Mytilus edulis: one gene and its partner. The protein of the gene in region 2 purifies or fractionates together with the protein of the main gene of each other region. This does not show direct contact. Links are inferred from orthologs where the notes say so. Each region holds a gene or a part of one and is shown on either strand. Other genes may lie near its edges. The genes, in order: F-box/LRR-repeat protein 15-like and cryptochrome-1-like.

What was found.
Region 1: the proteins of cryptochrome-1-like (region 2) and F-box/LRR-repeat protein 15-like purify together in Drosophila melanogaster (affinity purification with western blotting; 5 studies listed by BioGRID). This does not show direct contact. The link is inferred for Mytilus edulis from reciprocal best matches to the Drosophila melanogaster genes cry and jet.

The regions. Positions count from the first base shown.
Region 1 is NC_092352.1:36,571,370-36,588,376, reverse strand, and holds the start of F-box/LRR-repeat protein 15-like, read right to left. Parts: upstream 8,004-17,007; 5' UTR 7,886-8,003; exon of another isoform or gene 7,882-7,885; intron 1-7,881. Other genes in the region: geranylgeranyl pyrophosphate synthase-like, read left to right, coding at 8,467-8,517, 10,041-10,109, 12,340-12,425, 12,871-12,917, 14,223-14,339, 15,474-15,575.
Region 2 is NC_092353.1:49,651,103-49,667,811, reverse strand, and holds the start of cryptochrome-1-like, read right to left. Parts: upstream 6,435-16,709; 5' UTR 6,278-6,434; coding exon 6,268-6,277; intron 5,359-6,267; coding exon 5,185-5,358; intron 3,961-5,184; coding exon 3,821-3,960; intron 1,599-3,820; coding exon 1,456-1,598; intron 1-1,455. UniProt on the Drosophila melanogaster protein: Blue light-dependent regulator that is the input of the circadian feedback loop. Has no photolyase activity for cyclobutane pyrimidine dimers or 6-4 photoproducts.

The DNA of each region.
Region 1 (17,007 bases), on a different chromosome or scaffold from region 2:
TATTCAACCAAATTAATGTGATTTGTATGTAATGTGATGAAAGCTCTTTATTGTTATATTTGTCTTTCTAATACCGGTTATGTGCATGTAAAATTATAATAATTATATGTGTAAAAAATGTATGTACAATGTACATTTTATCCTATATTAGCTGTATTGCTTTTAAAGTATTATTAACCTAATGAAATCATCACAGTGTGTACTGGCTTGTTATTATTGTGTATGCGGGACGCTGTCTTTGAAACACCTACAAAGCTGATGAATATGCATGACTTTAGATAAGAAAGGCGCTTGTAGCCTAAAACTGGGAGTTGAGTTGTAGATTTGTAGCATAACTGAACATATAGTTTTATCGCCCCTGATTAATGGCGGTTGGTGGAAAAATTCACTGGTAAAATATTCTGAGAATCCTGGGTTTTTTAACAGTTTCCATCATTTAAAATACACCAAATATTTATATCAGAGAGGAAGAAACACTAAGATAACTTCCGATCGATCAATTATATTTACAAACATTTATTTACGCTGATTTACGTGTGTGCACATATAACTATATAAACACGTGTTGACTACAAGCCGGTCATCATGGTAGATTTAAATTGACCTATCGATGGACAAAACCATTAATGACTATCCTCTTTCATCTCTCCCATCAAAGCAAAACAAGAGGACTGGTAAAGCAAAATTAAGCCTTTTCGAGCAAATTGACCCAAACTTGTATGATGAACATGCTAAAATCATCACATTCTATGACAATCTTGGAAAGGAACCTGATAATGATATTGAATGGTATGACGAACCCAAAATATGGGAAAACCGAAACAACAGTGGAAATTCTGTGATGATTGAAGTATTAAAAAAGGGGGAACTTCAATTTAATATTACATTTTTTGTCACAACAGGAACAATAAGAGTACAAGGCAGTCATTATTATGAGTTTGTGGATATTCATTTTCCAATTCTGAAAGATATTCTTGATAAAGTTCTTACAAACATATCACAAACCAGTCCTACTAATACATGTATTTCACACGAATGTCATGATGACAATAACAATACACACATTAATGAATTATGCCCTGTTGACAAGGTCACTTGTGTATTACCTGACTCCCAGACTGGGTTAAAATCAGTACTAGTACAAGAAGATCAACCTCAAAAAGATGATTTTCAAAGGCTTGAATTAAATTTAGTTGACACGCTGGCTAAAATAGAACACAGTCACAATGAAAACTTCAGCAAAGTATTAACTGCTGTTAAACTATGCAATGATGATGTTCTAGTCTTGGGAAAAGGTAGAAAAGACGACAATGAGATATCAACATTACAATTAAAATATAAAACCGTACAAACAGAAAAACAGACTTTGGAAGTTAAATTAAAACACGAGCAAAGCAATATTATGTTAACTAAAGCTCAACATGAAGATCAAATGAAATGTCACAATCAAATACTGGAGGAGACTAGAGCAGAAATGAAAAAGGTATTAACTACTTCAAACTCTGAGATCGACTTTCTATCGGTAAGCCTACAAACCAAAAATGAAGAAATTGACAAACTAACTGATACTCTAAAACGACATACTCAACACTTGGAGAAATTACAAGAAGAAAATATCTCTCTCCGCTCCCAAATGATTTCTCGATTTGAAGATTTTCATCTTGTTAATGCAGACACGAAATATATTGACAAATCTAAACTTGACATTGATAACAAACCAACAATTATTTTAATTGGTACATCCAATACCAAACGTATCAATGCAGAGAAGCTATCGCCATCATTTACAACCAATAAGGTTACTGCTTTCAATTTAGAAGAAACTAAACAAGCTATTTTGGAGATATCGGATATAATTCCAAATCTAGTAGTGTTTCATTCCCTGACGAATGATTTGAAAATAAAATCACCACAGCAATGTGTAGAAGAAATACAAGATATTGTCAAGCTTGCACTTCAAAAATGGCAAAATAGTGGTTGCATCATCTCTCTTACTACTCCTCGACTCGACAGTGTAATTTTTAACACAAATGGACAAATCATAAATGCCTTGTTGAAACAAATATATGATGACAATAAAGATGTTCTACTTGTTGATCATGGCAATATGTTGCGAAATGGAAACCCAATTGCAGAGCTACTAAGTCAAGATAAATTTCATCTCTCTGACTCTGGCGTGTCTCAGCTATCGGCAAACTTAAAACGTGGAATACACACTGCCTTAAACATTCCCATGCCAAATTCAAGAGGTAGATCCAAATCGCGCAACACAAGAGGACGTGGACGTGGACGTGGCAGAGGTCATCATGAATAACTTGTTTTTTAATATTATACATATTACCATATCATTATGTTGACTTCCTTTAACATGTTTAAAGTCATTTACATATAATTTATATATACATGTACAACTTTATATATTTCTTCTTTTTTTTTGGGCTGATAAATTCATATTCTCATTTGAAAAGATTTTTCAAATGAAACAGCCATTATGTGAAGAAGTCACACTATTACATGGTCATATATATGTAACCTCTGCTAGGTATAAAAGTTCGCCTTTTTTATTTTATTTTATTCATTTTTATTTTTAGTTTTCACATTTGAATCATACTTTTGATCTTGAATTAACCCAGGATATCAGGTTATTCAACCCAAATCAGTTTAATAGTTATTCAGTTAAAAGAGGATACATAGAAAAGAAATTATCTGTCATTATATCATAGACTATTTGTATTTAGAAAACCATTGTAAAAACTATCCTCTAAATAAATCTACTTATTTCAAATATTTACATTTCTGAATATTTTCCTTGTTGTCTCTTCCTTTTATTTAGAGACAAATTTTTATTATTTTTTTTTTTTATAGATAGAAAATCTATTCTATTATTTATACCAGATTTAATTGTATCAACCAAAATGCCAAAATCAAACCAATCATCTGTAAAATTTGGTTATTGGAATATAGGTGGCTTATTTTCAAAGGGCATGAATAAAGCAGAGGATCCCCTTTTTCTGAAACATATAGAGAATTACGACATTGTTTTTTTAGTCGAAACTCATGTGGGATATAATTCCCAAATACACAATATTGGCAAATTTCATTATCATCCAATATGTAGAAAATTATCAAATAATAACCGTCATTTTGGGGGTATAGCAATTCTACAGAAAAGTCACGTTAAACCTCATGTCAAAATATTGATTAACAGTAATCCAGATTATCAATGGATTAAATTAGAAAAATCCTTTTTTGGATTTAAAAGTGACCTATTTATTTGTGTACTGTACAACCCCCCTGTTACGTCTAAATATACCCAAGAACTCTCTTCTGATGTTTTTGAATGCATGGAAAAAGATATCTTTCAGTATAAAAAAATGGGTGAAATTTTGTTATGTGGAGATTTTAATGCCAGAATAGGCTCTGAAAATGACTTTATAGTAAACGATGATTCAAAATTTACTCCAATTTTTGATACATACCCTACTGACAAAAACATTATGACAAGAAAAAGTCGAGACCAAAAAATTGATCAAAGAGGCAAAGAAGTTTTGGATTTTTGCATTAGTAAACAAATAAGAATTTTAAATGGCAGAGTTCTTGGTGATACATTTGGTAATTTTACTTGCTATACCCCCAATGGTGCAAGTGTGGTTGATTATGTTGCTGTGTCGGAAGAAATTCTTGAAAATGTACTGTATTTTAAAGTATCCAGATTTATTCCCACATTATCTGATTGTCATTGTAAACTTGAGTGGGAATTATCTGCAAAATATTGTGTTCCTGGAGAAAATGATATTCCAATCCAGTTGAAAAATATGACACCTAATTATATCTGGACTGACTGTTCAGCAATAAAATTTCAAGAAACACTTTCTTCAGATACACTACAAAACTACATACTAGAATTCAACAACAGCACAATTCAATTTACTCAGACATCAGTAGATGACGCATCATCAAAACTTTCAAACATCTTTTTATCAGCAGCAAATCTATCACTTAAACGACCTTTAAAAAAACACACAAACAAACAAAAAAACAAAAAGTGGTTTGACGCAAGTTTACAACAAGCTCGAACTAACTTGCTTAATTATGGAAAAATTTATTCAAGATTTCCATATGATCCAATTATCAAAAATCACTTTTATAAACTGAATCGTGAATACTCCAAACTAAGGAAATATAAATACAAACAATACAAACAATCATTGATTAGTCAGCTGGACTCCTTGCACGAAGAGAATCCAAAACTGTATTGGAACTTAATTAATGAACTACAGGAAAAAAATGAAACTAAAAAAAAATGTGGAGTACAACCATCAACTTTGATATCACATTTCCAAAAGTTGTCACAACTGAAAGGTGAATTTCAAAGTAGATATACAGAGCTATGTGAAAAACTGAAACAGTTAGAAAACTCAAAATGTTTCAACGAGTTGGACTCCTTTATCACTGAGTCTGAAATATCCAAAGCCATTTCACACTTAAAATGCAATAAATCATCAGGCTTGGATAACATTAGTAATAATATGATAAAGAATGGACAGACTTTCCTTTTAAAAAGTTTTCAACAGATGTTTAATACTTGTCTGTCTTCAGGTATATACCCAACATCTTGGGCTGAAGGTTATATTACACCAATTTTTAAAAGCAACGATACAAGTGACCCTAACAATTATAGAGGAATAACAATAACAAGTGCAATTGGAAAGCTTTTTAATAGAATATTAAGTCTAAGACTGGACAAATTTCTTCAGGAACATAATATAATACATGATAGTCAAATTGGATTCACAAGGAAAGCCAGAACTGCAGATCATATGTTTATTTTAAACTGTCTTATTAACAAATACTGTAATTCAAAAGAAGGTAGACTGTTTGCCTGTTTTGTTGATTTTCAGAAGGCTTTTGATACTGTTATACATACAGGGATCAAGATTAAACTACTAGATATTGGGGCTGGGTCTTATTTTTATAACATTATTAAAAGTATGTATGAAATTAGCAAATCATGTGTCAAAATTCAAAATCAAGTAAGTGATTTTTTCCCATTAGATATTGGAGTCAAACAAGGTGACAACCTCAGTCCGAATTTATTCAAGATATTCATAAATGATTTGCCCAGATATTTGTCAGATACTAGAGACCCAGTTAATGTCAATGACAAAGATCTACATTGTTTAATGTATGCTGATGATATTATTTTATTATCTACATCAGCTGAAGGACTACGAGAAAAGCTGGGAATGCTTGATAAATTTTGCAAAGATTGGTGTCTCAATGTGAATACTAATAAGACAAAGGTGCTGATTTTCAACAAGGCAGGCAGACATGTAAAACAGATATTCACATTTCAGAATATAAATCTGGAATGTGTTTCAAAATACAAATACCTAGGTTTATATTTAAGCTCATCTGGTTCATTCAGTTATGCTCAAAATGAACTATACAAAAAATCCCTGAAAGCTCATTTCAAATTAAGGAAAGATCTTTTATCACTTAATCCTGATGTAAAAACAAGTATTCATGTTTTTGACCACACTGTAAAACCTATTTTATTATATGGTAGCGAAATATGGGGGATGTTTAATTCTCTTTCCTCTAAATGTAAGAAGGAAGATATATCTTTTGAAAAATTATATTCAGGTTTACCCTGTGAGAAACTTCATATAAAATTTTGTAAATTTATACTTGGGGTACACAAGAAAACAACAAATGCTGCAGTGTTATCTGAACTTGGAAGATTTCCAATATATTTTAATATTATAAAAGGAATGTTATTGTACTGGTATAGATTAGAGAATTTAGGTAATAATTTTCCTCTATTAAAAGAGGCATATACACAATCAAAGACACTACATCACATGAATATAACATCATGGTATGGTTCAATAAATGTTGTTTTTAAAATACTTGGTATTGACTATACAAATGCCATAAATGCTCCATTTTGTGAATCCTTATACAAATTTAAGAAATATATACAAACCAAGCTATCAATATTGTTTATTAGCTGTTGGAAAAAACAAATAGATAAATTTTCAGACAGTAAACTGAAAACCTACCTTTTATATAAAACAAATTTTGGTTTTGAAAAATATCTAACATTGATCAAGAATTTTGAACTTAGAAGAAGTTTTACTAAATTACGTGTATCTTCTCGTAGATTACAAATAGAATTAGGTAGATATCAGGGTATTCCCCGAATTAACAGAATATAATAAATGTTCTTCCAATACTGTCGAAGATGAGGCTCATTTTCTATTTGATTGTAACAAATTTGAGGATGATAGAAATTGTATGTTAGCTAGTATTGCACAATATAATTCTTATTTTAATCATATGAACAGTCAAAGCAAAATTATCTGGTTATTTAGTGTAGAAAATGTTGAGTTACTTAAAATAATATGTAATTTTATATACAAACATCTTCCTTAGTGAAGATTAGTTAAAGGAAATCTATGTGTGTATATACATTTGATTGGACATAGAAAATTATATTCATCTGAATATCACAAACATACTAGCCGATTAAAAAAAAAAAAAAAATAATTGTTAAGATATATTATTTATTCAAATGTTCTCTTATATCCTTGAGGCATCGTCCCCTGGTATCAACTGCATTCAAGTTACCTATGATGCTTCCTTGTTTGCTTTTGATACAGGTAGGAAAGAGACATTTACACACATTTTACATGCCTATGGCCCATAAGGTATCGTCCCCTGGTGTCAGCTGCCTTTAGGAAACCATAATGCTTTCCTATTTGCTGCTGACACAGGATGAGTCATGGACATGTTTAATTTCTACTTTCTTTTTGGCTAATTATTATATATTTAATTGATCCAACTTTTTGTGTACTATACATATGTGGATATCTATTTTTCTTTTTTTTTCTTTTTGGGCTGCTTGTTTGTTATCTATATCAACCACACTTGTAATAAAATGCATTAGTATTAAAAAAAAAACCAACATATACTATAGATTCTTTATCTACGTATTCTTTAAGAACTTAAATAGTTCTCGTTTAACTTTTTTTTTTTTTTTATCTCATTGTTTGTATTGTATTATGAAAAAATTATTGATGTTGTAATGTTTATGCCCTTTGGGGCCCATAATTGGAAATAACAAGAATGTGTCCTCAGTACACGAACGCCCCACTCGCACTATCATTTTCTATGTTCAGTTGACCGTGAAATTGGGGTAAAATCTCTAATTTGGCATTAAAATTAGAAAGATCATATCATAGGGAACATGTGTACCAAGTTTGAAGTCGATTGGACTTCAACTTCATCAAAAACTACCTCGACCAAAAACTTTAACCTGAAGCGGGACAGACGGACGAACGGACGAACGAACGGACGAACGAACGGACGAACGGACGCACAGACCAGAAAACATAATGCCCCTCTACTATCGTAGGTGGGGCATAAAAATATCTTATCTTATCTTATCTTATCTGTAGTTGATATAATAAAAAATTAGAACAGAAATAAGGTGTTAAATAATTTAATAATCTGAGCGGTAATACATGGATCTATCATTTATACATGTAATAGCCTATACATGCTATAGGGCCATTTAAATCGTAATTGGAAAAATAAAAAAATATTCTTATTATGAGGCCTTTCTTCATGTTCTTGGGTCGGATCAACTCAGGATAGAACGACTGTGAAGGATAGACTTTTGGTCAGATTGACAAGAAAGCTAAACCTGTACATGCTGTAGTTACATAAAATGTATATATATACAATGTACTACAAATTATGGATCTGTACATTGTATTTTATGTCTTTAAAGATTATTAATGTTAAGCTTTAGTCCTTTCAAAACCTGACAGCAGGTTAGATCTATACAGAATTACATGTGTGACAAAAGCATACATACTACTGAAATGTGATCAGCATGATATTCTGATTAAAAGCAAAATCATCTAATTGTCAATAGACAAATAGAGCACCCTGTCAAATGGACTACCTGTCAAATACAAGTTATAAAAAGTGTTGATTTCATCTATTTATTAAAACTGATATATATATTCTAAATATAAATTTTAGATTCACATAAAATTGGATTTTAACAAATTAATGAAAAATATCACATTATATGATTGATTTTTGTGTGCTTTGAAAGAAATAAGTAAAGTAGAATCAACTGTAATAATTTATTAACACTTTAAAACAAAATTTTACAATATCCGGAAACTGGCTGGAAACGACCACGAAACTTTTAATTTGTTAGTCATACCTATATTTGGGAGAAACACGTATTGAAATTGAAAAAAAGACATTCAGTATATTATTGATTTCTTACATGCCATCATATTTGGTACACATTCTAATCTGAAAAGTTCTGAATATACAATAGTAGATTGAAAATCAACCGGAGTACACCAGCGCTAATTTACGGATATCCGGAATTGTAAAACTAAAGTGTGAAAAAAAAATTTGTCATAATCCTCAAAAAATATGTCCTCAGAAACATCAAAAGAACAGAATAATGATGATTTAACAGAACAGGTAACATATCGGTATTCAGAATGGTATTTGTCATTTTATCTGTTTATTCGTCTGTTTATATAGGGGGTCTCATACACCTTATCGCTATTTGTCTGCCATTACTGGATATCACACAGGTTCCCGTAAAATTTTGACGTCACAATACAAAATATCTGACCCCACAATGGAAAAGTGATTGGGGGTCAGCCGGGATTAGCGATAAGGTGTACTGCCTTGGGGGGCAACCGATCTCGGATCCCGCCTACTGTCTTGTCACATTCCTGTTTCCCGCTTACACTATGTGCGTAGGCAATTCTCATTTTATTTGTCATTTCCCGGATCCCGCTAGACCTCATTTCCCATTTTCACGACATAATAATTTGACTTTCACGTTTCACGCTTACAAAAAATCGGCAATCCCGTGTCACACTTAGACCCAAATGAGACCCACTATATACAGCCTATCTAAATTATTATTACTAAACTGCTAAACATGCTAAATAGTATTACGATTTATTCAGGTCTCACATTCAATTGTTATACCTCATTTCTGGAATCAAGTATTTCACCGGAAAAGATCGTTCAGTGTTAAAATGGGAAACGAAGTCTGACAGGACATGGGAAATTACATGCGCATTATGGCAACAAGAATTAAGCTGGATACAGGATTCTCACTAAACAATAACTTGACCGACGGGATCCGGGATACCCCCCAATGAGACCCCTTTAAAAATTTCCAGCACGTTCTTAATCATCCTTCTATATACGGTATAGGGTTGCAAATAGCATGTATAGCATGCATAGAAATTATTTATGTTCTGTAAGTACATAATCTTGATTCCCTTACGATAGAGGAAGGGTGACCATCTTCAATGATATTATAAGTTTTTAATTTCCCAAATATTTTTTAAAGTATAAAATCAAACTTTTTCAATTGTTTACTCAACATGTGCAGTGACAATGCCTACATTTTTGTCACATGGTGATCAATGGTTACGTCACCATGGTCACATGACAGATTCGACTAAAAACTGTAACCCTGAACTGCTGTATTGTCAGTATTGACACAAAGATTGGATACACGCTATAACATATAAAATATGTGCCTTGTTGAATTTGTTGTTGAAAAAATAGTGTAGTTTTGTATTAAAAGCCAGGTACTTCAGTTTCGTATTTATCTGTAGCAGAAATCAAGCATATGTCAAGTGATTATCGACATTAAACTAATCATTGCTATGTATTATGACTAAAAGAGAGGTGAAAGATATCAAATGGGCATTCAAACTCATAAGTTGAAAATAAACTGACAATACCATGGCAAAAAAAGAAAAAGACAAACAACAGTTCACAAAAAAACAACATAGAAAACTAAAGACAGCAATTTAAAAAGACTCAACCAAAAAAGTGGAGTGATCTATTAAATGTGCTCAGCAAACTGTTGGGGCATGCAAATTGGAGTGTACTTTTTAATCATTACTGAGATGTTGTTATTCAAATTATTCATGCCTAGGTGAACCTTGTACAAAGACCTTTTTTTTTTACAGATGCTGCGAGAACCATATAAGTATATATGTCAGATTCCTGGAAAACAAGTTCGTACTAAACTTGCAGCTGTAAGTAGATTTACTACATCAATGCATTTTATATTTGTAAAGTGATTTTTTGCAAACAAGTTATCCAATAAAAAAATGTAAGAAATAAACATTGTCAATGAGTAGAAATAAAACATCAGAAAGACAAACAACACTGAAAAACACAAAAAATTGGAAAGACAACAATTCAAAAAACATGTAGAAACTTGATTTAACACAACTTAAACTGGCAAGATGTTGAACAGTTATATGTTGTCTCACCCTACTAACTTCTTTTCAGCTCACCTGCCTAAAAGAACCAACGTGACCAAAATTACCTATTGTCAATGTTTTAAATTAGAAAAAAAAAAAATAGTGTTATTAAGTTTTCAGTTTTCCAAACAGACATAGAGCTTTTTTTAAAGGTTATTTTGTAGTTTTTAGTTTCAGCTTAATATCAGTACATGGTTGACCATGGCCTACATTTGACCATAAGGGTTGGTCTTCAGGACTCACTGTTGCATTTAAAAGAAAATACAACTGCATACTTCACAAGGGATACAAGCATCAATGGTTGCCCAAAATTGTGAGATTTCATTGTGTAAAGTTATCTTTACCAAATTATCCATATAGATAGAATTAAAAAAAAAAACTTTGGCACTATGAAGTTGTTGGGTAGCAGACTACATGTATTTGTAATCTTGTAATCTGTTTTCAGATATATTTTTTTATTTATTAATCTTCCTTTTTTAGCTCACCTGGCCCAAAGGGCCAAGTGAGCTTTTCTCATCACTTGCAAACGAAGTCGTCATTGTCCGGGGTCGTCTGTTAACTTTTACCAAAATTTTTTCTCTGAAACTACTGGGTCAAATTTAACTAAACGTGGCCATAATCATCATTGGGGTATCTAGTTTTAAAAATGTGTCAATGACCCGGCCAGCCAACCAAGATGGCCGCCATGGCTAAAATTAGAACATGGTGGTAAAATGTAGATTTTGACTTATAACTCTGAAACCAAAGCGTTTAGAGCAAATCTGACATGGGGGTAATATTGTTTATCAAGTCAAGATCTATCTGCCCTGAAATTTTCAGATAAATAGGACATCTGGTTGTTAGGTTGCCGCCCCTGAATTGGTAATTTTATGGAAATTTTGCCGTTTTTGGTTATTATCTTGAACATTATTATAGATAGAGATAAACTTAAAACAGCAATAATGTTCAGCAAAATAAGATCTACTAGTAAGTCAACATGAGCAAAATGGTCAATTTTACAAAATGTTTTTCTCTCTAACTACTGGGCACAATGCATAATACTTTATTAGATAGATATATTTTTAACAGCAAGAGTGTTCAGTAAAGTAATATCTACAAACACATCACCATCACCAAAACACAATTTTATCATGAATCAATCTGTGTCCTTTGTTTAATATGCACATAGACCAAGGTGAGCAACACAGGCTCTTTAGAGCCTCTAGTTATTGATTCTTAAAGCAAGGGTAACAATGGATATAAAATTCATAGATTTTTTGTTTTGTATACCTACTGGTTTTCACTTCTCAGATATGATCACTATGTTTCATTTCATAGAGACACAAATTGGGAATTTTAGCAGTATAAACACCAAATTTTCTAAAGTGCCAAATTGAATTGTTAGGAAAACCAAACGTGAAGGGAGGGGTAGAATAGAAGTATTATAGTAAAAGTTTGAGGCATATAAATGCTGAAAATATGCTGTACAGCCCTATGTTTTGACCTTGGAAAAAAATAGTAGTGCATATGAAATATCCATTCTAGGATATACTTCTTACCAAACATGTCAAAGCAGAACAGTTTTAGTCATAAAAGGAGTTCATATGGGAAATTGCATTGTCTATATTTACAGATGTGCAACCTCTAGTGAGAAGAGTTCACAGTTGTACTTTTGTATTAGGCAATTGAAACATTAATCATTGTTTCATTGGACAGAATGATCAAGGAGCTTGAACTTTCACATAATGAACAGATCAGTGCCTAATTTATTCATTACATGTATTCAAATTTTTTGGTTAAACAAAATGAGAGACAATATCTTTTATTTTAGCTAATATATTAATTAAGAATGTAACCTACAATGTAGTGTAAATCTATCACATTGCATTTTTTTCAGTTTAAATGTTCATGTTGTTTGTTTCAAGTTGCTTTTTCTTTGCCAAAGTTTTTCAAGTATTTCTATTGTGGTTACATATGCATGCATATTTTTGTTATAATTGTAATAACACCTTTTTTGCAGGCATTTAACTGTTGGTTGAATATACCACAAGACAAATTGCTGATAGTTGGAGAAGTTACACAGATGTTACATAATGCAAGTTTATTGTAAGTACAATCTTGATAATAAAAAAAATATTGTCATTCAATATATGGTACTTGGTGATTTTATCTTATGTTTGCCAATGGAAAACAATACAATATTGGTAAGTTAATACTGTAATGGAAACAATGTATTTTTTTATTCTTCATGTTCTTCGGTAAACATTTGTACATTAGATAAGCAGCTGATTTTTTTCAGTTTTATGTTAATGCACTGTTGTATCTCAAAACTACACCATATTATACATAACAAGAATAACTAAAATTACCAAAAATAGTTGACAGTACAGCAATCCTGCCAAACACGACACCCAACTTCATATGTTGTTTTTTTCCCCAAAAATTAAATATACAATATAGTTTGCAAATTATGTGAAATTTTCAATCTATAGAATATACCTCATGACAAAACTGGCTATTGAATGTTATTTCTTTTATTTGTTGTCCATAGGATAGATGACATTGAAGATAATTCCAAACTGAGGAGGGGTATACCAGGTAATACAAGTCATTATAATTTAAAGTTATTGGTCATTTTGATGAATAAAATAAACAAGCACTGTTTTATATGACATTCCTCTGATTACCCGGTACATAAAAATAAGATAAATATTTTGCTATTTTGAAGAAAACAAGATCTTTAATTAAATTAGGACCATTTCGATTAACTGTTAAATATTTTTTTTAAATTAGACTCTTAATTTCAGACATTCCATCTTTATAACACAAAAAGATGGAAATGATGGAAATAAAACAACTTCATTGTAAAAGGTTTGCACATCAAAACTAGATATTGTCTACCTATAGGATGAGACATTTTTTTTCTTTCTTTTGAACAGGCGCATATCAGGGCTAAGTTAGCTAATTTATTGTAACTTTACTCATGCACTTGTCTCAGAATTTTTTTCCCCTATATACTTTAATATAACACAAAGTTCTTAACTTGTATTTTTTTTAAATGTCAGCTGGTCGAAATTTCCGCTGTATGCATATTTATCGGTTGTCAACCCCACTTAAACTTGTTATGTCGTAAATATTAATTGATTTATCTACACAATGGTGTATCACATGCCTACGTTTGTTGTCAGAATCATCCGTAGCAATCCTACCAAAGGATGTCAATCGTAATAATTTCGTAAAGTAAAGAGAGAGTCTAAATGACATTGACGTAATGGGAAAATTTGTGTATAAAAAAAGAAACATGTAACTTATTTGACATACCTCAAATAACACTTGTTAGGTTTTTTTCCATGGTATCTTAAACAATTTTACTAAATGGGTGATAAGTTCTATTCAGACAAAAACTAATTTTGTTCTTAAATATTTTTTATAATTAATCATTTACTGCAAGTTGTGTGATCTTCTGCAGACGTAATAATTACAATTGACATACTTAGGTAGGCCTGCTACTAATGATTCATACAACAAAAGTAGCAGTGTTATACACGGTTGTGTAGAAATATCAATAACAGAATTTCACGACTGGCTGAAATTTAAAAAAAAAATGAATATTAAGGTATATAGGGGAAAAAAATTCTGAGACAAGTGCCTGTGAAACTTTACCCTAATTTAATATAAACACTATAAAAAAAATTATAAATTAAAAAAGTTTTTTAGTTCAATGAGTGTTGCATTATAGATTATCATAACACTACGACATGACAAAGAATCATAATTTAAACTGTATCAATGAATTTTTACATTTACTGAAATAAAGCCAAAAGTACAGATGCCTACATACACTTTCAAGATTTAAAAAATGTATATTGAGAACTTTTTAAAATGATTATTTATCTTTTTCAGTGGCACATTCCATATATGGAGTAGCACATACCATCAATTCTGCAAACTACATCTATTTCTTGGGTCTACAGAAAGTTTTAATGTTAGAACATCCCGAAGCAACCAAAGTATTTACAGGTTTAATATCAGTTCTGTTTGTAGAATTTGTCTATTTATATAGTTTTCACACCTGGTAGATATAATTACCATTTTATGCATTTGTACTTAAAAAATATGTTGAGTTTAAGTGATTTATTAGGTTTAAAGAGATGATTAAGTTTTTAAATGGATAAAAACTCTTTTTATTGGGTTTAAAGAGATGATTAGGTTTTAAATGGATAAAAGCACTATAAACAATAAAAGACAAACAATTAATATTTTGTTATCTCCCTTGAAATGAAAAATTGAATTCAACAATTATGTTTACTCCTTTATAAAGAAATGAGGATTACCAACCAGAGATTATTCAATACATGCAATAGTCTGGTTGCCATTATTTATTTTTTTACTCTTTGACAAATCTTTACAAACTTTATTGTGTTGAAGAGACAATGAATTTAGAAGATAAATCTTTTTTTGGCAATTTGTTGGCTCAATGAATTACAGCTCTGATGTCTTTTGATTTATTTTAAGTAACCCTATGGTAAATAACACTTTTATCTTTCTCTGAAATGATGTTGCTAATCTAAACAAGCTTTTGATTAATTAATGTTTATCTTAAAATTTTTCACCAAAGCTAATTTTTACACCAAAAAAATAATTTGTTTGGTTTGAAAATTTTGTAATCTTGCCCACCTTTGTTTTTTAAGATCAAAAAGAGTTTTCCCATAGGCAGACATTTTTGGGATATAGACAATTGCTGTTCTAACAGTCAACACTTAATTCACATGTCTTTCTGTTGAGAAGCTTGAGCTGAAAACCTTTTTGTGACATGGATGAGCATGCCAGCTTAGTTGTAATTTAATGAAGAAAAAAAAACTAAATCCTAGTTCAATCATTCAGAAATTAAAAAAAGAATTCAAATAAAGCAGATCCCCCCCTTATTTGTTAAATCGAAGGCTGATTGCAAGAAGAAAACAAATATAGAACACTACACCAAACAACACCAATGAATTAAAAAAACCCAATTACATTAACTGAGAACAAAAAGGGCTATTGGATCGACTGTCATTGTATAGAAACACTTTGCTATTATTTCACAAAACTCTTATTATGAAAGAACAGAAACATTTATAAAGACTTGATGAAGACAACTTATGTACTTTGTTTCAGAGCAGTTATTAGAGCTTCACAGAGGACAGGGTATGGATATATATTGGAGGGATTCTGTAGTGTGCCCTACAGAGGAGGAATATAACACTATGGTTATAAGAAGTAAGTCAAATTTAGTTGATAGTATTTTAGAAAATATAAAAATAAGAAGATGTGGTATGATTGCCATTCAGACAACTTATCCCAAGAGACCAAATGCCTCAGAAATAAAAAAAAAAAAATTAGGTCAGTACAGTCTCCATATTGAGCAAAACCTGTACCAAATTGTCAGATATAAAACACCCCAAATGATAATGTAGAACAATCAAACGAGGAAAACTGTGTTTGCATCATCATACTTTACAGTATATAATCTGTTATTAAAGAGACACCAATTTTTTAGGGAAAGATGACACGAATTGCATTTAAAACCCTTGTGCCACTAACTTGATAACTATATTTTCTAAGCCTTGTATTCACCTTTGAGAGATTTACCACCATTATTCAGTGAGGAGGGCATTCTTTAGATCATATCCATGCCCATGTCTAGCAAATGATTAATATTAGATATATGCTCAGAAATTCAAGTTAAGTTACAAAATGAAGTGTATGTGAATATATATTAAACCATAAATGTACAAAAAAAGGTTTGCATGATGTTCATTGTGTATGAATATATCTGTTCTGAAAAAGAAAGTTCAAATTAAACTACAATTATACACAAAGGAAGATAACTTTTATTTTAAAATGTTGTCTTAATGTAGCATTGTTAGTTCACATTGCAAAATCAATGCATTCTAACCCATACAATTCTCACAAGTACTTTATTAAAGATTTTATTTCATTACTTCTGATGTATGCATTTATGTTTTGTTTAGAAATGTTGAAGAATACTAAACTGAACAAAATGATAAACATAATTTGTCAATTTTAGTGACCTTATTCTCGTAAAGTCATAAGAAACCTCAAATAAAAAAAAAATAATGCATATGTTTTTTTATAACTCAATGGATAGTTTTCATTATAAAACTTATGTACATATACTTTTTTCTGAAGAAAATTCTTTAATTTATTCATATTTAGAAGAAGTTTACTATACTTTAATTGCTTCCTTCCAGGAAGCAATTCCCCCCGACATATTTTCCGTATGCAAAGTGACCTCAGTCTGACCCATCTCGTAAAAATCTGGTGATCACAATACGCATGGATGTCCTTAAAATAAACTATTATCTGAATTTACATGTTAAACACGTGCTTAATTTCCATGCTTTTTTGTTGATTTTTTGTCGATTGTTGACAAACAGGTGACAATAGTTAAACTTCGGCTTCAAAACACAAACTTTAATTACCTGCCATATTTTCACAACAACACTGACCGATTAAAAAAAACCAACAATTAAACGAAATTTACACGAAAAAAAATGATAAATTTGTGCACAGAAGACTAAGTTTATGATTTTTGTATGCACTGGTTCAAGAATTGGAAGAACATTATTTTTCACCGGTCACTCATTTCTTATGACTTTAATATTCTTGAACAGTGATGAGATTAAGT
Region 2 (16,709 bases):
AATGCTTATTTGGGCCCTTTTTTGGCCCCTTAATTCCTAAACTGTTGAAACCAAAACTCCCAAAATCAATCCCAACCGTTCTTTTGTGGTCATAAACCTTGTGTCAAAATTTCATAGATTTCTATTAACTTAAACTAAAGTTATAGTGCGAAAACCAAGAAAATGCTTATTTGGGCCCTTTTTGGCCCCTAATTCCTAAACTGTTGGGACCAAAACTCCCAAAATCAAAACCAACCTTCCTTTTGTGGTCATAAACCTTGTGTTAAAATTTCATAGATTTCCATTCACTTTTACTAAAGTTAGAGTGCAAAAAACGCCAACGTGATAGCAATATACGACGAAAATTTTTTCAAATTTTGCGGTCGTATAAAAACTGCATTTTACCCCTATGTTCTATTTTTAGCCATGGTGGCCATCTTGGTAGGTTGGTGGGGTCATTGGACACATTTTTAAAACTAGATACCCCAATGATGATTGTGGCCAAGTTTGGTTAAATTTAGTAGTTTCAGAGGAGAAGATTTTTGTAAAAGTTTACAGATGACGGACGCCAGATGACAGACTCCGGACGACAGACGCCAAGTGTTATGATCAAAATGTCGGTGAATGTTCTCAGAGAGTATTGTTACCAAAATGTTTTGAGTTGACTTTTAATGATTTCTTGTCATTTAAATTACTCTGATTTCATGTCTGTTTTATTGAATTACTAAAGTATTGGTTGTACATGTATACGCTCCTTACACATTATAATTTTAAAATACAGTTGTTACTTTCATGTGCTTTATTATTAAGAGTTTGTTAGAACTGACTCGGTATGTATTAGGTAATAAAACAGATAGTTGCATATAAAATATCTATATACTATGATTCTGTAAAAAAAATGTATATTAGACCTGGCATGATATTATTCTTTTCTATGATTTTTTATATACATGTAAGCAAAAAATCTCCATGGAAATGAGATGTGCCAGTGTTAGTACATCTGCAATTAGCATAAAAAATATCATTTACCTACCACTAATAGTTCCCCTAAAACTGACCTATATCACAAACTAATACATGTACATGTAAAGTAAAAAATACCTAGGCAAAAGTTTCAAAGTCAATAGACTATGACTGACATGGCATGCATGGCCAAATCATCTACAGTGAAACCTGACTAAACCAAATCCTGTATAAACAGAAAAGCTGTATAAACTAAACATGTTAGTAAGTACCGTCATGTCAATTTATGTGCATTGAGAACCTGATAAATTGAACATTGGCCAAAACCAAACAAAATCTTAAGTCCCAAAGAAGTTCGGTTTAAACAGGTTTCACTGTATTATGAAATGAGTTGTGCCAATACTAATACAATTGCATACCAAATACTATTGACCTACATTGTACCACCATTCCATTGCAATTTTCACAATAATAAAAACATTGCAAAAATTTATTTTGATTGTCAATACATACTTCATTGGTTCATAAAGGGTATGGGATACTCTTTCAACACATTCTATTTCCTTTTTCTCACAAAGTTCTTTTACAGCATCATCTCTTTGTTTCCACACAGCTTCAGGGTCCTGCTCAAATGTTAGTTTTGTCACACCCCATTCCTAGTAGAAAATAAATGAGATATGCAAAGTAACACACCCCATTCCTAGCAGAAAATAAATGACAAATGCAAAGTTACAACCCATTCCTAGCAGGAAATCAATGAGAAATCCAAAGTTACAACCCATTCCTAGTAGAAAATAAATGAGAAATGCAAAGTCACACCCCATTCCTAGTAGAAAATAAATGAGAAATGCAAAGTCACACCCCATTCCTAGCAGAACATAAATGAGAAATGCAAAGTCACACCCCATTCCTAGTAGAAAATAAATGAGAAATGCAAAGTCACACCCCATTCCTAGTAGAACATAAATGAGAAATGCAAAGTCACACCCCATTCCTAGTAGAAAATAAATGAGAAATGCAAAGTCACACCCCATTCCTAGTAGAAAATAAATGAGAAATGCAAAGTCACACCCCATTCCTAGTAGAAAATAAATGAGAAATGCAAAGTCACACCCCATTCCTAGCAGATAAAAAATGAGAAATGCAAAGTAACACCCCATTCCTAGCAGAAAATATATGAGAAATGCAAAGTCACAACCCATTCCTAGCAGAAAATATATGAGAAATGCAAAGTAACACCCCATTCCTAGCAGAGAATATATGAGAAATGTAAAGTTAAACCCCATTCCTAGCAGATAATAAATGAGAAATGCAAAGTCACACCCCATTCCTAGTAGAAAATAAATGAGAAAGTCAAAGTTACACCCTATTCCTAGCAGAAAATATATGAGAAATGCAAAGTCACACCCCATTCCTAGCAGAAAATATATGAGAAATGCAAAGTTACACCCCATTCGTAACAGAAAATATATGAGCAATACATCAATGAGAAATATAACAAATTTTTAGACTTTTATTATGAAATCATAAATATTTGTTGGAAATCAATTTTCGTGGATTTCATGGGTACAGTGGAATCATGAATTTAAACTTTCAACGAATTTCAAATTTTCTAAAGGAATGACTACAGACTTTGTCAAAACCATGAAATTAAATATTCACGAAAATGCCAGTTTTCTTTGGTAATCCATGAAAATTGATACTCAGGAAAATAAATGAATACACAGTACTTTACAGAAACTAAGAATCTGATGATCATGTAGCATTTGTTGCACATTGGTTTTCAAAATACAATGGGTTAATTGATGCACATTTACAATTTAATTTTTTTTTCATATGATGTGTATGTTGTATACATGTACATGTACATCATTTCAAGCAGACAACACAAAAACAAAAAAAATGATATGCAGAGGTCAACATGACATTAATTGGGTTTTTTTTAATTAGAGTACATGTCTTTTAACACTAATATCTATTGTGGATTCATTAATCTTTGGTGGATACCACTTTTCGTGGATTTTGTGAAAACAGGGTAACCACGAATTCAAATGTTCAAGGCAAAACCATGAAATTTAATGTCCACGAAAATACAAGTTTCCTCAATCCACCAAAATTGGTATCTGTGAAAGTAAATAAATCCTCAGTATTCATTCTGTCTCCAAAATTGACAAAGATATATCACATTGTCTGCTGGGAAATCAATTTTTCTGCTGGGAAATTTTACTTTATTAGCAGTGTGAGCAGTTGGTCATTTTCTTTAAGAACTTAACAGTTATAATTATATCTTATGTTTCTAATAAATATATATCAGATCTTGGGTTGGTATGTAAAAAAATGTTGTTGATGAAGACCATGTTACAGTGTTTGAAATTTGTGGCAGCTTAACACATACTAGACAAGAGTTCATAGTTCTAGAATGATTGCACTATTATTGATATAACATTTATTTCTGTTAAAAAAAATTGGGACCTTAATCCTAATCAACCCTTTCTTTCCTTGTCCTTTCACATTAGGTCATGTTGGCAAATATGGCTGTTTGTAAAACCTTGGTCATCAGATGAAATTCAAAGAATAAGCACACAATTTAAATTACTGTGGATTCACCTATTTTTGTGGGTTAAGGAAAACTTGCATTTACATGTACCATGTTTACATTAATATTCAATTTTGTGGTTTTGGCAAAGTCTGCATAAATTCCTTTAGAAAATTTGAAATTCTAAAAGGATTCAAATTTGTGGTTCTGCTGTACTCATGAAATCTGTGAAAATTGGTATATATTCAATGAATATTTATAAATCTAGATTATCTACATTTTTATGTAAATTACAAACTTGAAGTATTGGTTTATAGTTTGATAATTATTTTTTAAAAGTACCTTGAATAGATTGGTCAAAATGTCCACAGGCTGACCATGGAAAACATACAGTCGACCACCAAATTTTCTCAAATTCCTATCTAGATCTTCCAGGCTTTCGATTAAAAACCGCATTCGATTAAATGCGACATGCTTGGTACCTTAAAAAAAGTTAAGTTGAAGATTAGTAACACATGTGAATATAGAATCAAATGGATAAACTCTAATATAAACATGATAAAAATAAGGAGATGTGATAAGCACCGAGACAATTTTCCACCAAAGTTCAAATGCAATTATAGGCCAGATTATTTCAAAATTCCAGTCTTTTCTGCTGAAAAAATGTTCAATACTTAAATTATGAACTGATGTTATAAGTGCATAAATACTCACATTGTAGCCAATATCCAAGTAAAAAATATGTAGAACCAATGTCCCATCTATGCATATACCTTCATCATGTTCATAGTAAATACGTACTTGAATTTGGTCTGTCAAAAATTGTTTTGGTTGTTTTGTTTTTTTCCCACAAATAATCATGAGCAATGGATTTATAAGTACCAGTATTGAGGCTGTTTAAAATACAGGGTCCCTAAGTATGCAAGCTTGGCTACTTAGGTATTTATATATCAGGAAATGATTGAATAAAAATATTTGTTATCATTAAAAAATAAGAAAGAGTACCAGTATTGCAAAAGATTTAAATTATAATTATTCAATTTTTTTCTGAGGTGATCCCTGGTGTTTGCTTGATTTATGCTAGGAATTGAGATGTTTAATACAATGCCATATATATTTGAACATTCTGTGCTTGCTTAGAAATCCTTGTATCAACTGTTTAATGAGTTAGTAGGTGATCCATTGCACACAAAATTTTGCTAACCAACATACTGGTAATCCTTTTTCAAGTAAAAGCCAGAAACCTAGCTTTCTTTCTGACTGACAAATTTTGCTGACCCAAGTCACCTTCCATTTCCTTGACCAATTTAGCAGGTCAGACCCACCTTCCATTTCCTTGACCAATTTTGTAGGTCAAACCCACCTTCCATTCCCTTGACCAATTTTGCAGGTCAGACCCACCCCCTATTCTGGATGACCAATTTTGCAGGTAAAATTTCTTATTTGTAATACATATATATTAGGTAATTAATTTTGTCAGATTCCCGTATCCTGCTTACACTATGTATGTCATGTATGTAAGCAATTCTCGTTTTTTGGGTAATTTCCTGTGTCCCGCTAGACTTCATTTCCAGTTTTCATGGCATGATAATTTGACTTTCACATGTCACTATAAACAAATAATCGGCAATCCTGTGTCACGCTTAGACCCTAATGAGACCCACTATGTATGGTAACTTTAAGGTAAATCTCAAATTATTAAGTACCTGCAACTTCTCCATCAAAAATAAATATAGGATAGAACTCTGTACAATTCTTCAGTGCTTCCAAGAGGGCTGGGTTGTCATGAAGACGTAGACCATGCCGGAACCAATGGACAGAAACATTCCCATGTCGATTATTAAAATCTTGTGGTGGCATGTTCAGCTCCTTAGCATCTCCTAAAACATAACATGAATTTACACTTTCAGTTATTTGTTAATCAACTTGAACAATTTTTGCAACTTGAGACAATGAACTCTTTTTTTTCAAATTATCTTGTGATGTCATTTATACATGGAACCGGTTTGGCTCAAGTCAGAAAAAGTGGGGTATTCCCTGTCTTCAGGAAAAACCCTTAAAAAAAATGCAATTTAACAGGGACTTCCCTTTTCTATTTCAATTCATGTAATTACTTAAAGTATTTCAGGAACAGCACAACATGAATAAGTGATTCGTTGTTTTTTCTAGAACTCAAAAAATAAAAAAAATAAATTGTTTAGGAATCATTTGATCAAGCTGCATGCTCCAGGTGTACATGTTACCATGGTTACTGACCATAACTGAATTATTTTCACTTCTGTTGAAAATTTCTATTCATTATATTTAAATGCCCATGTGGTTAACTTATATTTTTGACATCTCATTATTGATGTTCAAGGTATGAATTGGTGAACAAAGGAATTGGATCTGAAATTAGCTTGATTTTTAGCTAATAGTAATAGAAACACTTGCTATCATATATGTAGAACATTTTTATCACAGGTACATGATTCATAAAAGGTGCACTTTTGTATATTTCATACCATAAATTAGTCCAAATAATTATGACTTGAGCCCAACCTGTATAAGGCTGGATAAAGAGCTATGTTTTACATGTACATTAATTGTAGTTACAGTAAATAAAATAATATATAGTCAACCTTCCCATGGATAGAAACAAGTGCCTGTGGTACAAAATCTGTTTAAACATTTTTGCTACCAAAAAAAAAATAATGAGTTTGCAATACAAAAGAACATCCCATTTTGTTTTTTTTTTTTTCTTAAAAATAAAAATGTATATAAAACTAATTTAAGGGGACTGTCCAAACCTTTTGACATTACGAACTTTACACTCCAAAAATACACTCAGATAATTGTAACATTAGTTGACGTGTTGTTGTCTGATAATAACATTCGATCATGTCAAATATATTGTAATCAGAAAATCAGCACAAAAAATAAAGGAAAAGCCAAAGAAAAATAAACAGGAAGTGGTTAATTGCTTAAAATATCAAACACAACTCCGGAGATAGATATGCATATACAGAACCGGAATTTCCAATATCACTGAGAGAAGTACTTATCATGATTTACCTGGGAAAGGTTGGTCAAAATGTAGGGGGATTAAGTATTTCATGATTTCTATTAGTTGAAAAGAAGGTTCATTTTTTTCTTGATATATGTAAATAATTTATTGAAAGTAGGGGGTTGAATTTTATCTCTAATGAAACATTTGTCGGAACCAGAGACATACATGTATAATTCAGAGGCGGATTGAAAGGCAAGGGGCAAGGGCTCCCTTTTTTGGGAAAACATTTGGTTGCTTATATAGGGAATCACTGAAGCGTGACTGGAGCGGGCCCCCTCTTAGGCAGTCAGTGGGACGCCACTTCTGAAAATTTCTAGATCCGCCAGTGTAATTATATGTCTCTGTCGGAACTTATGAATCTCGAGTCAAGTACATCATACTTATTATGTGTGTCAAAGTTAATTGTTTTTGAATTTGCATGCTTAAATTTTCGCATGTTTATAGAGTGGAATTAATTAAAAAGAAAAGTTTTCCTTCAGCGCCGATTGAAAACAACCGAGCTTGTTCCAAAATGTCTTTGGCCTATTAAAAAAATCAAAGGCGGATTTAAGGGGGGCAAGGGGCAAGGCCCCCCCCTTTTGGGAAAACATTTGGTTGCTTATATAGGGAATCACTGAAGCGTGACTGGAGCGGGCCCCCTCTTAGGCAGTCAGTGGGACGCAACTTCTGAAAATTTCTAGATCCGCCAGTGTAATTATATGTCTGTCGGAACTTATGAATCTTCAAGTACATCATACTTATCATGTGTGTCAAAGTTAAGTGTTTTTGAATTTGCATGTTTAAATTTTCGCATGTTTATAAAGTGGAATTAATTAAAAGAAAAGTTTTCCTTCAGCGCCGATTGAAAACAACCGAGCTTGTTCCAAAATGTCTTTGGCCTATTAAAGAGGCTTATATAGGGTATATTGGGATACGGGATATTTGCCATTTTAATTTTAGGGATATGGGATATTTGTCCTAAAAGTAAATGGGATATGGGATATTGATGCATTTATAAGGATATTGAATTTTTAACATGAAAAAAATAAGTGGAATTTAAAAGTAAAGTACAGAAATATTTACATCTCACTTGATAAAATTGCCCAAAAAAGTTAAAGGTCATTTTAGTGCTTTGTTGATTTTAATTGAGTTAATGGTCGTTTTATTTAAAAGTCATCCAAACCCAGGCGAAAAGTATTGATCTGTTTTCGATATTTATATGCTCATATGTACTGATAATTTTAAAAGTATTTGGTTTGCTTTCCATACTTCGTTCCTTATTGTTAATTTTCCTTTTTTTGCTTTGGCACTATCTTATAGTGTTTGTATATCACAACACCTCCGCTATGCTCGTGTCTGTTGTAACGTTTTGGATTTTAATGAACGAAATCTATGTATTACTGGTAAATAATATTAAGTCAGGGATTTCGTTACCACAAATCACTTCAAATCTTTACTAAATTCTAGATTTGGTTTTGAAGTTTGGTTCTACCTGTAGAAAATTTATTTCAAACGGGATAGCACATCCTCATTTTTACGGAGATGTTGTTTACCGTGCCATTGGATGCTGGATGTGTAATGATTGATAATTTAGTCTCAGATGCATTACTTTTTATTAGTTGTAATTGGCTTTGAACTAGCTGTCAGTAACTGCAAGTACTCTCAGATCTGCACTTAGTGTCTTTTTGTTGATGGGATGTACAAGTACTCGGTCACGTCCACTCAGGCTGTTTTTGTTAGATGTATTTCTATTTCTATCCATCTGATGAGTTAAGCCTTTTTCAACGACAACTGATTTCTATAGTTCGTTCTTATGTTGTACTGTTACACGACTGTCCCAGGTTAAGGGGAGGGTTGGGATCCCGCTAACATGTTTAACCTCGCCACATTATGTATGTATGTGCCTGTACAAAATCAGGAGTCTTTAATTCAGTGGTTGTCGTTTGTTGCTGTGTTACATATTTGTTTTTTGTTCATTTTTTTATACATAAATTAGGCCGTTAGTTTTCTCTTTTGAATTGTTCTACATTTGTCATTTCAGGTCTTTTTATAGCTAACTATGAGGTATGAGCTTTGCTCATTGTTGAAGGTCGTACGGTGACCTATAGTGGTTAATTTCTGTGTCATATGGTCTCTTGTGAAGAGTTGTCTCATTGGCAATCATACCACATCTTTTTTTTTATATTATATGCTCATATGCATTGATAATTTTCTTGAAATAATCATAGATTTTTGTTAGATGTACCCATCTGATGAGTTAAGACTTATTGTTGTCAATGTTTTTATTTGTTATGATGCTTTATATGATTACAGGATATTTTCTAGTGTTTTACCTCTTATTTTTTACATGGCGTGGCGAGGATCTTCAGAGGTCTCCACGTTTCACAGATTGCTCTGATGTGCAACGGCTGTTTTGCAAGACAAGCTGGGGCCGAGGGACGTCAGAGCACGTCCCATATCAAAAAGTAGATATTTCGCTGTATAAACTATGTTAATAAAGAATAATTACTAAATAATCAATGTAAATAAATATATTTTCTTCTATTACTGGTGTTGTGAGGAAGGAAATTAAAAAAAAGTAACAAAAATATTTGGATCTATGTAATTCATAAAGTTCAAGATCACAGAGTCAAATGTTGTGTTATTTCTTTGCAATACAAGGGCTGTGCAAATTTTGCCTGCTGTAAAAATATTGAAACAGTTAAGTGTAATGTAGGTACATTAGCAAAAAGCTTTCTTGTGTTAAATTTTGAGTTATTGAACTTGCATGCTAAATATCCACTTTTTGATATGGACGTGCTCTGACGTCCCACAGTCTCAGCTTGTCTGGCAAAACAGCCGTTGGATGTCAGGCCAATCTCGGACAAGAGACAGGGTTGAGTCCTTCTGTTCTTTCCAACATAGGTTAACGTGCAGGATGAAGTTTCTTATCAATGAAAGAAGAATGCTATCAAAATTATATTTTACAGTCATATGCATCACGGTTTGAACAATTAAAAAAAAAAGTCCGAAATTAGACCCCTTACACTAAATTTATCGTTTAACCTCACATAAAAAGAGATTGTTATACAAGGCTCTAAGATGGAACACTTCATCTTTTGGACACATACATTGTATATTCTTATTTAACACTAGAAGTATGCACTAAATTTCCTTTAACACAGTTTGTTTTCCCAGAGTCAAAATTGTTGACGTTGTGATGATGAGGGGAAAAAATGAATTTATATTGATTTTTTGGGATATTTCAAAATAGTTTTAGGGATATGGGATATTTGTAAAAAATATTTATTGGGATATTAGGGGTAAACATTATAGGGATACGGGATATTGAGATAAAAACTTAATGGGCTATGGGATATTGATACCCCCTAAACAAGCCTTTCAAATATTTCTTGTGGTTAAAAAAGATCCACTTTTAGCAAAAAATACACCAAGATACTTGTAGTCTTTGACAATTTCTATTTCTTTATTACAAATTTTTTTTTCTTTTTTTAAGCATACACATTAACTAATACTCTTTGGACTTAACAATATGATACCAGTTTTAAATTCTAGATTTGTTTCTCAGGCCACCTAAGTACAACCTAAAGTACAAAACAATTACAAAAATGATTTACACAGCGATATTTTTGTAATCAGTCTAAATAATTGGATATTATTTCTAAACTTGACACCAAGTGTATGCTTAATTAAAAAGAAAAAAAATATTTTTGTAATAAAGAAATAGAAATTGTCAAAGACTACAAGTATCTTGGTGTATTTTTTGCTAAAAGTGGATCTTTTTTAACCACAAGAAATATTTGAGAGACCAGGGAACAAAAGCAATATATAGTTTATTAAAAAATGTCGAAGACATAATTTATCAATTGAACGTCAATTAGATATGTTCGATAAAGCCATTTCACCAGTATTACTTTACAGTTCAGAGATCTGGGGTTTTGAAAATTTAGATGTTTTAGAAAAAGTACACTTGAGTTTTTGCAAGATCATATTAAACCTAAAGCAGACAACGCCAAATAGCATTATTTATGGAGAACTCGGACGATTTCCGATCTCGCTTACAGTTAAAATGCGAATGATAAAATTTTAGTGTAGATTAGTAAATGGTGAAGAGGAAAAAATCTCGTCAATTCTTTACAAATTGCTGTTTGTATATTTTGAGAATTATGGTTTTGAAAGCAAATGGTTGAAATTTGTTAAAAGCATTTTTGATAATTGTGGTTTTAAGCAAGAATGGTCGTCTGACATTTTTAATTCAAGTAAAACAATTTGTTATAGAATATTTAAGAAGGAATTCTGTTTTGAACGTTATTTGTCATTAATACCCTCATATCTTATGTATTATTTATGTAAATTCAGATGTGGCTGTCATCTGTTTGCCCATTGAATCGGGCAGATGGCATGAAATTCAAAGAGACGAAAGAACCTGCATTGTATGTAACTCAAATGAAATAGGTGATGAAAACCATTATGTTTTAGTTTGTAACTTTTTTAGCTCAGAAAGGAAAAATTGTTACCGAAATATTGTTAAAAAAAATGCAAATGCTGCAAAATTTATTCAGTTATTCTCATCAACTGATATTATTGTATTAGAAAAACTAGCAAGATTCATTAAACATGTATTATCCCTGGTTAGTTAAATTGTGTTTAACATACACAATTAAATGAACTGTCTTTTTCCATATTTATTTACGCATGCACTATTATTGTATTATAATTGTATACTAATTTCTCTGTAACTATGTATGTTTATGAGAATAAAATATTCGCTAACAGCAAATGATTAGTAGTGTACTGTACTCATTTTTCTTGATTAATTATTGATTTTCATTTTATTTTAGCGGCAATAACGCATATGCAGTAAGTTTCACTGGTGTTAAACTGATCATCGTAATTCCAGTTACCACGATCCCAACAGGGCGGAGCCCAAAACACATATGCAAAAACAAGCCGACTATTTCAGAGTTTAGAATGACGTCCATTATCACTGAACTAGTAAACATTTGTGTGTAGGGGTCAGCTGAAGCACACCTCCGGGTGAGAGAGTTTCTCGCTGCATTGAAGACCCATTGATGGCCTTCGGCTGTTGTCTGCTCTTTGATCTGGTTGTTGTCTGTTTGACATATTCCCCGTTTCTATTCTCAATTTTAACAAAGAACATTTTCATCGGCATAATCAGCGAAAAGATGATATGAGTAAAACATCATATTTACATTGGTTTACTTAGCTAAAAATAATCGAAAAACGGCAATAAGACAAACAACAGTACACAAACTCGGCCACAACAAATAAAACTAAAGATCGAGAATCAAGAGCCCATCCAAAAACCAAAGGTGAGCTCATGTGCGCCCGACATGTGGCATCCGTTGTTTTGCTCATGTAAACACAAAACCTGTGATTAACCTAATTAGGTCACATCCGAGGCAGTAAAGAAGACGAGGTTGTGGTTTCGACAGTTGGAAAATATCCGTCGTCATCATCCACAATGGCCAAAAACTAATCATAGCGTCCTTCACATTCGAAAGATGTTTTCAACTTTACCAGTTCAATCGCTACAACGTTCTATCATGGAAATCATGCTAGAAAATGCATGCTCTGGACTATCTTATCAACTGGGAGATATATTCTCCATTTGCACTGGGGCTTTGTTAGAATGATGCTACATAGAAATGTAAAGTTCACAAATAATTTCTTTTGTTGCGGAGTTTTGTTTCTCGCCCGACCTTAATTGTCAATTTCTAGATGTAGGCCAAGATATGAGGTAGACTTTAAAACTGAATCTGCTATAACCTTTATCTTCTATAAGATGCATTTAACATAGCCACCAACTATGAATTATTTAATGAGAAGGCATAAGCTATATCGGAACATAAAGCTAAAGGATATCTTCATAACTATTAAAAATTCCATACATATATATAAAAAAAAAAACGAATTTACAAAATATTTTACTTGACGTGTATTTGTTAATTCTCAATTCTTTTTATTTATTTAATTTTTTATCTATTTAAAAAAAAGATATTTTACTTACAGTTTAACTTGATAGAAAATTCTGTCCTTCTTACCTGATGAGTTGAATAATTAATACTAATGATATGATCGCGTTTTGCATTAAAAATCAATAGGATCACGTTGTATGCGACGTGACTTTAGTTGTCGTCAAGGAATACTTCATCTTTTGTTATAGCGAGTGCAATTACTGTTTTTTTTCCTTCTTTTCAGATAAAATGACATGGTGACATTGACCTATGCCTATCACGAATCATATTGCTGATTTTCAAAGACTGTTATTCCAATAAGTCAAAAGCTGATTTATTGACTTAGTCGGTTAAAGAGCTCTTTTAAGAGCTCATGTTCTTTGTTATTATGTATATATGCAACCCGACTTTAAATAAAGATTACTTTACTTTACTTTACTTTATTGATAGATATATGTCATAAAATTGAGAATGGAAATGGGGAATGTCAAAGAGACAACAACCCGACCAAAGAGCAGAACATATATTTTCTGTGTATCGAGCTATTATAATAGTCTCAGGACCAAGAAAATATTTTATGCTACACCTAATTTATCTCTTTTTGGTTTTCGGAAAAGTCATACATTTAATAAATGTTTTTTATCTATTCATTATTCATTTAACGTGACGGATGTACGTACAACAGTTAAAAAAGTAAGGCGAAAGATCCTGATTGTCCGGACCAGGGACTTTCTATACTTACCAGTATAGACTGTCCCTGTCCGGACATTCAACATCATATGTCAAAAACAAACTGAAAATGCCATTTCATAAACGAAAAAAGACGAAAAGACAAACAACGATACACAAAACACAAGAGTGAACAATATAAAATCACAAATCACTGAGGTTGGGTTAAGGGGGGGGGGGGGGGGGGGGGGGGGGGGGGGGGGGGGTTGGAAGAAATGCACTATGAAATAATTGATTATAACTCATCAAGGTTACAGAAAACAACTATAGAAAAAATGACCGATCAATTTGATACAGGTGTATCCAAATTTAAGGCGCAAATGTCCCTATTAGTGTTTGAAGCGCAAATATTCTATCGTGTTACAGGTAAAAAAGCACAAACGTCCTGTGCCCCAAAGTAAACTTGATCTAAGTTTTCTTTGACAAGGAAAACTTGGTCCAAGTCGCGTGTTGTCACTATCAAAGATTTTCATGTCAAACATCTACCAGGTAAACTTGGTCCATGTCATCATTTGTCACTATCAAAGTTTTTCATCAAAAGCTTAGCCATAGAAAAAGCTGCACTGTGATTGGACAATTTTCGTCCTAGTCCATCTAAGTTTCTCGAAAATTAGAATCAGTTTATTGTATTCTATCCAAGTCCTTGAAACGTTTAAGCCCAAGAAAACTTTGCATTTTAAATATATTATTCATATGCAATTAATGTTCTTGTGATAATTTAAAAATGATGAACTACATATAATTATCTATCTGTTAATATTCCTATCATGAAACCATTCATTAAAATAGAGTCAGTCATTTACTAAGCCACGATTTGAGGTTTGACTGTACCCAATTTTTCCTTATACAGCATTCTACTAATGAAGATGTAAAACATGCAACCAATGTGTGCACTAGTATCTTTAAGGAATATGCAAACACGTGTACATGATTTTGTGCATGGATTATATTATTTCTCACAAAAATTCAATGTATACATTTAGGAAGTTAGTAATTTGTTTAAGTTGTCAATATCTTGTAATAAGTTGTTAATTTCCACCCGTAGGCTTCTTGGTGAATCAAAGAACATGTTCCGATCGATTGATTTCACCAAGAGGTGCTGGCTCGCCGCTTGAGAATTATATCCGGCCGAGTAGCATAATTCTTGGATTTACGAATTCCAAAACAATCCACAAAGGATTTAAAAACTATTTTCCAACGGTGAGTTAATTTTAATTTTTATCAAATTTGGTTCTGTGTAGATTTCAAACTTTAAACTACATGGAAATATGTTCTTATCTGTAAGAAATATTAAAGAACATTACGTTTGAAGTAAGGTTGTCATTTTGGTAATACTGTGTATCTTTTTTTGAAAAGACCTCCTCCCTTATCTTTAAAAATTAAATCAGTCGATATATTACAATTCATATCTCTAATAATCAGATGGTGATCTGTTCATATAACAAATATAAAAAAGAAGATGTGGTATGATTGCCAATGAGACAACTGTCCACAAGAGACCAAATGACACAAAAAATAACAGCTATAGGTCACCGTACGGCCTTCAATAATGAACAAAGCCCTTATCGCATAGTATGTCAAACTTATATCATTGGATGTAACATGATGATAAAACAATTAAAAATAAAAGTCAGCAGTAGCTTATCTAAAAATACTGAGGGAATCGCATGAACTTCAAACTCAGCAAGGTCGGATACGCCAAAAGTGCAATTGTCTCCTGTTTTGCATGTATCACCCGTCATACGAATCCAGCCTCCATTAGATTGATATGCTAAAGAACAGGACACAATCGACTATTCTTATTATCAAAATAGAATACAACAGTATAAATTATCTAAAAATACTGAGGGAATCGTATGAACTTCAAACAAAGCAAGGTTGGGTACGTCAAAAGGCAAACGCGTCTCCTGTTATGCATATATCACCGGTCATATGAAGCCGCCTCCTTCAGATTGTCACGACTGAGAACAGGACACAATCGACTATTCATACTATTATACCTGAGATCAATAACTCATCCCACTAGTGAGTTCATGGAGTTGAGACAAAACAGTATATCACCAGTCTGAAGTGGCTTAACTCATTAAAATCGGTACAAAGCAGAAAAATTGCTTACAAAAACACAGAAGGACGTGGCGGGTGACCGTAAATCTTGCGTAGTATCAAATATTCAGTCGTCCATCTAAGTAGCCCTGTTGGAGCAGATTATACATTAGGAGCACAAGCCTGTTTAAGAAACGCAAACAATCGCTAACATGTGGGTTATTGAATGATAAGACATCATACCGGTAGATATATACAGAGACGGATTTAGGGGGCAGCCCCCACCTTTTCTGTGGAAAATTTGGTTGATTATATAGGGAATCACCGAAGCATGACAGGAGTAAGCCCCCTCTAAGGCAGTCAGTTGTCCCCTACTTATGATATCTGAACGTGAATCTTAAGGAACTTGGCTATATGCATTTTTCTTTTTGTCTTAGAGAAGGATTTGTATCAATTCAGCAACATATGAATACCAACATAACTCGGAAAGAAAGGATGAACACTAAACCTGATGATAATGAGACCCTCCACAACCACGACAACAATGAATATATTTTAACAAACAAAATTTTTGCTCTTTGGACTGAACTGTCTCTTTTACACAGTCTTCGATAGAAATGGAAAAACCTTCCAATTTTTATAAAACTCCTTTCCTTTAAACAAAACACAGAGTATACTGAGTTTCAAGTTCTGATATTTAAATAAGTAGATATGGTATGACTGCACAATGAGACAACTATCCACCAGAGAACGGATACCGAGGATTAACACAACCATGTAGGGCACTATACAGACGTCAATAATGAACAAACTCCTTCCATATAGTAAGATATTAAAGGCACAAGCATTTCAAAATTTGAAACCATTCAAAAAAGAAAAACAAGTGCCCAATTTGTCACTTTTTAAGCTGAACCAAATGTAAATTAAGATACAAGAAAGTCTTTTTGCTGTATTTATATATAATAGAGTATGTTTTCAAGCATATTTGGCTTATAAAACTTATTTCAGCTACTAGTATTTAAAGAATTAAATCTCAAAAATACTGAACTCCGAGGAAAACTCAAAACGGAAAATCCCTAATCAAATGGCAAAATCAAAAGCCAAAACCCATCAAACGAATGGACAACAACTGTCATATTTCTGACTTGGTACAGGCATTTTCTTATGTAGAAAATGGTGGATTAAACCTGGTTTTATAGCTAGCTAAACCTATCTTTTTAAAAGAGGTACTTAAATGTATATAACATGTTTAACTTGACTCACCATAATTGATGAAAGGTTGAACACAAACCACAAAAACATGAAAAGTTTCGATATACTAGTCTATTTACTCTTTTTATTTGGTTAAACACGAATAGCTGTGTCATATCTGACCACGGAAATGGCAAATGTGTCGTAGTTACAATCAGATCCTCTAAGCTTAAGTTCTGACATCACCGAATAAGACCTGTCA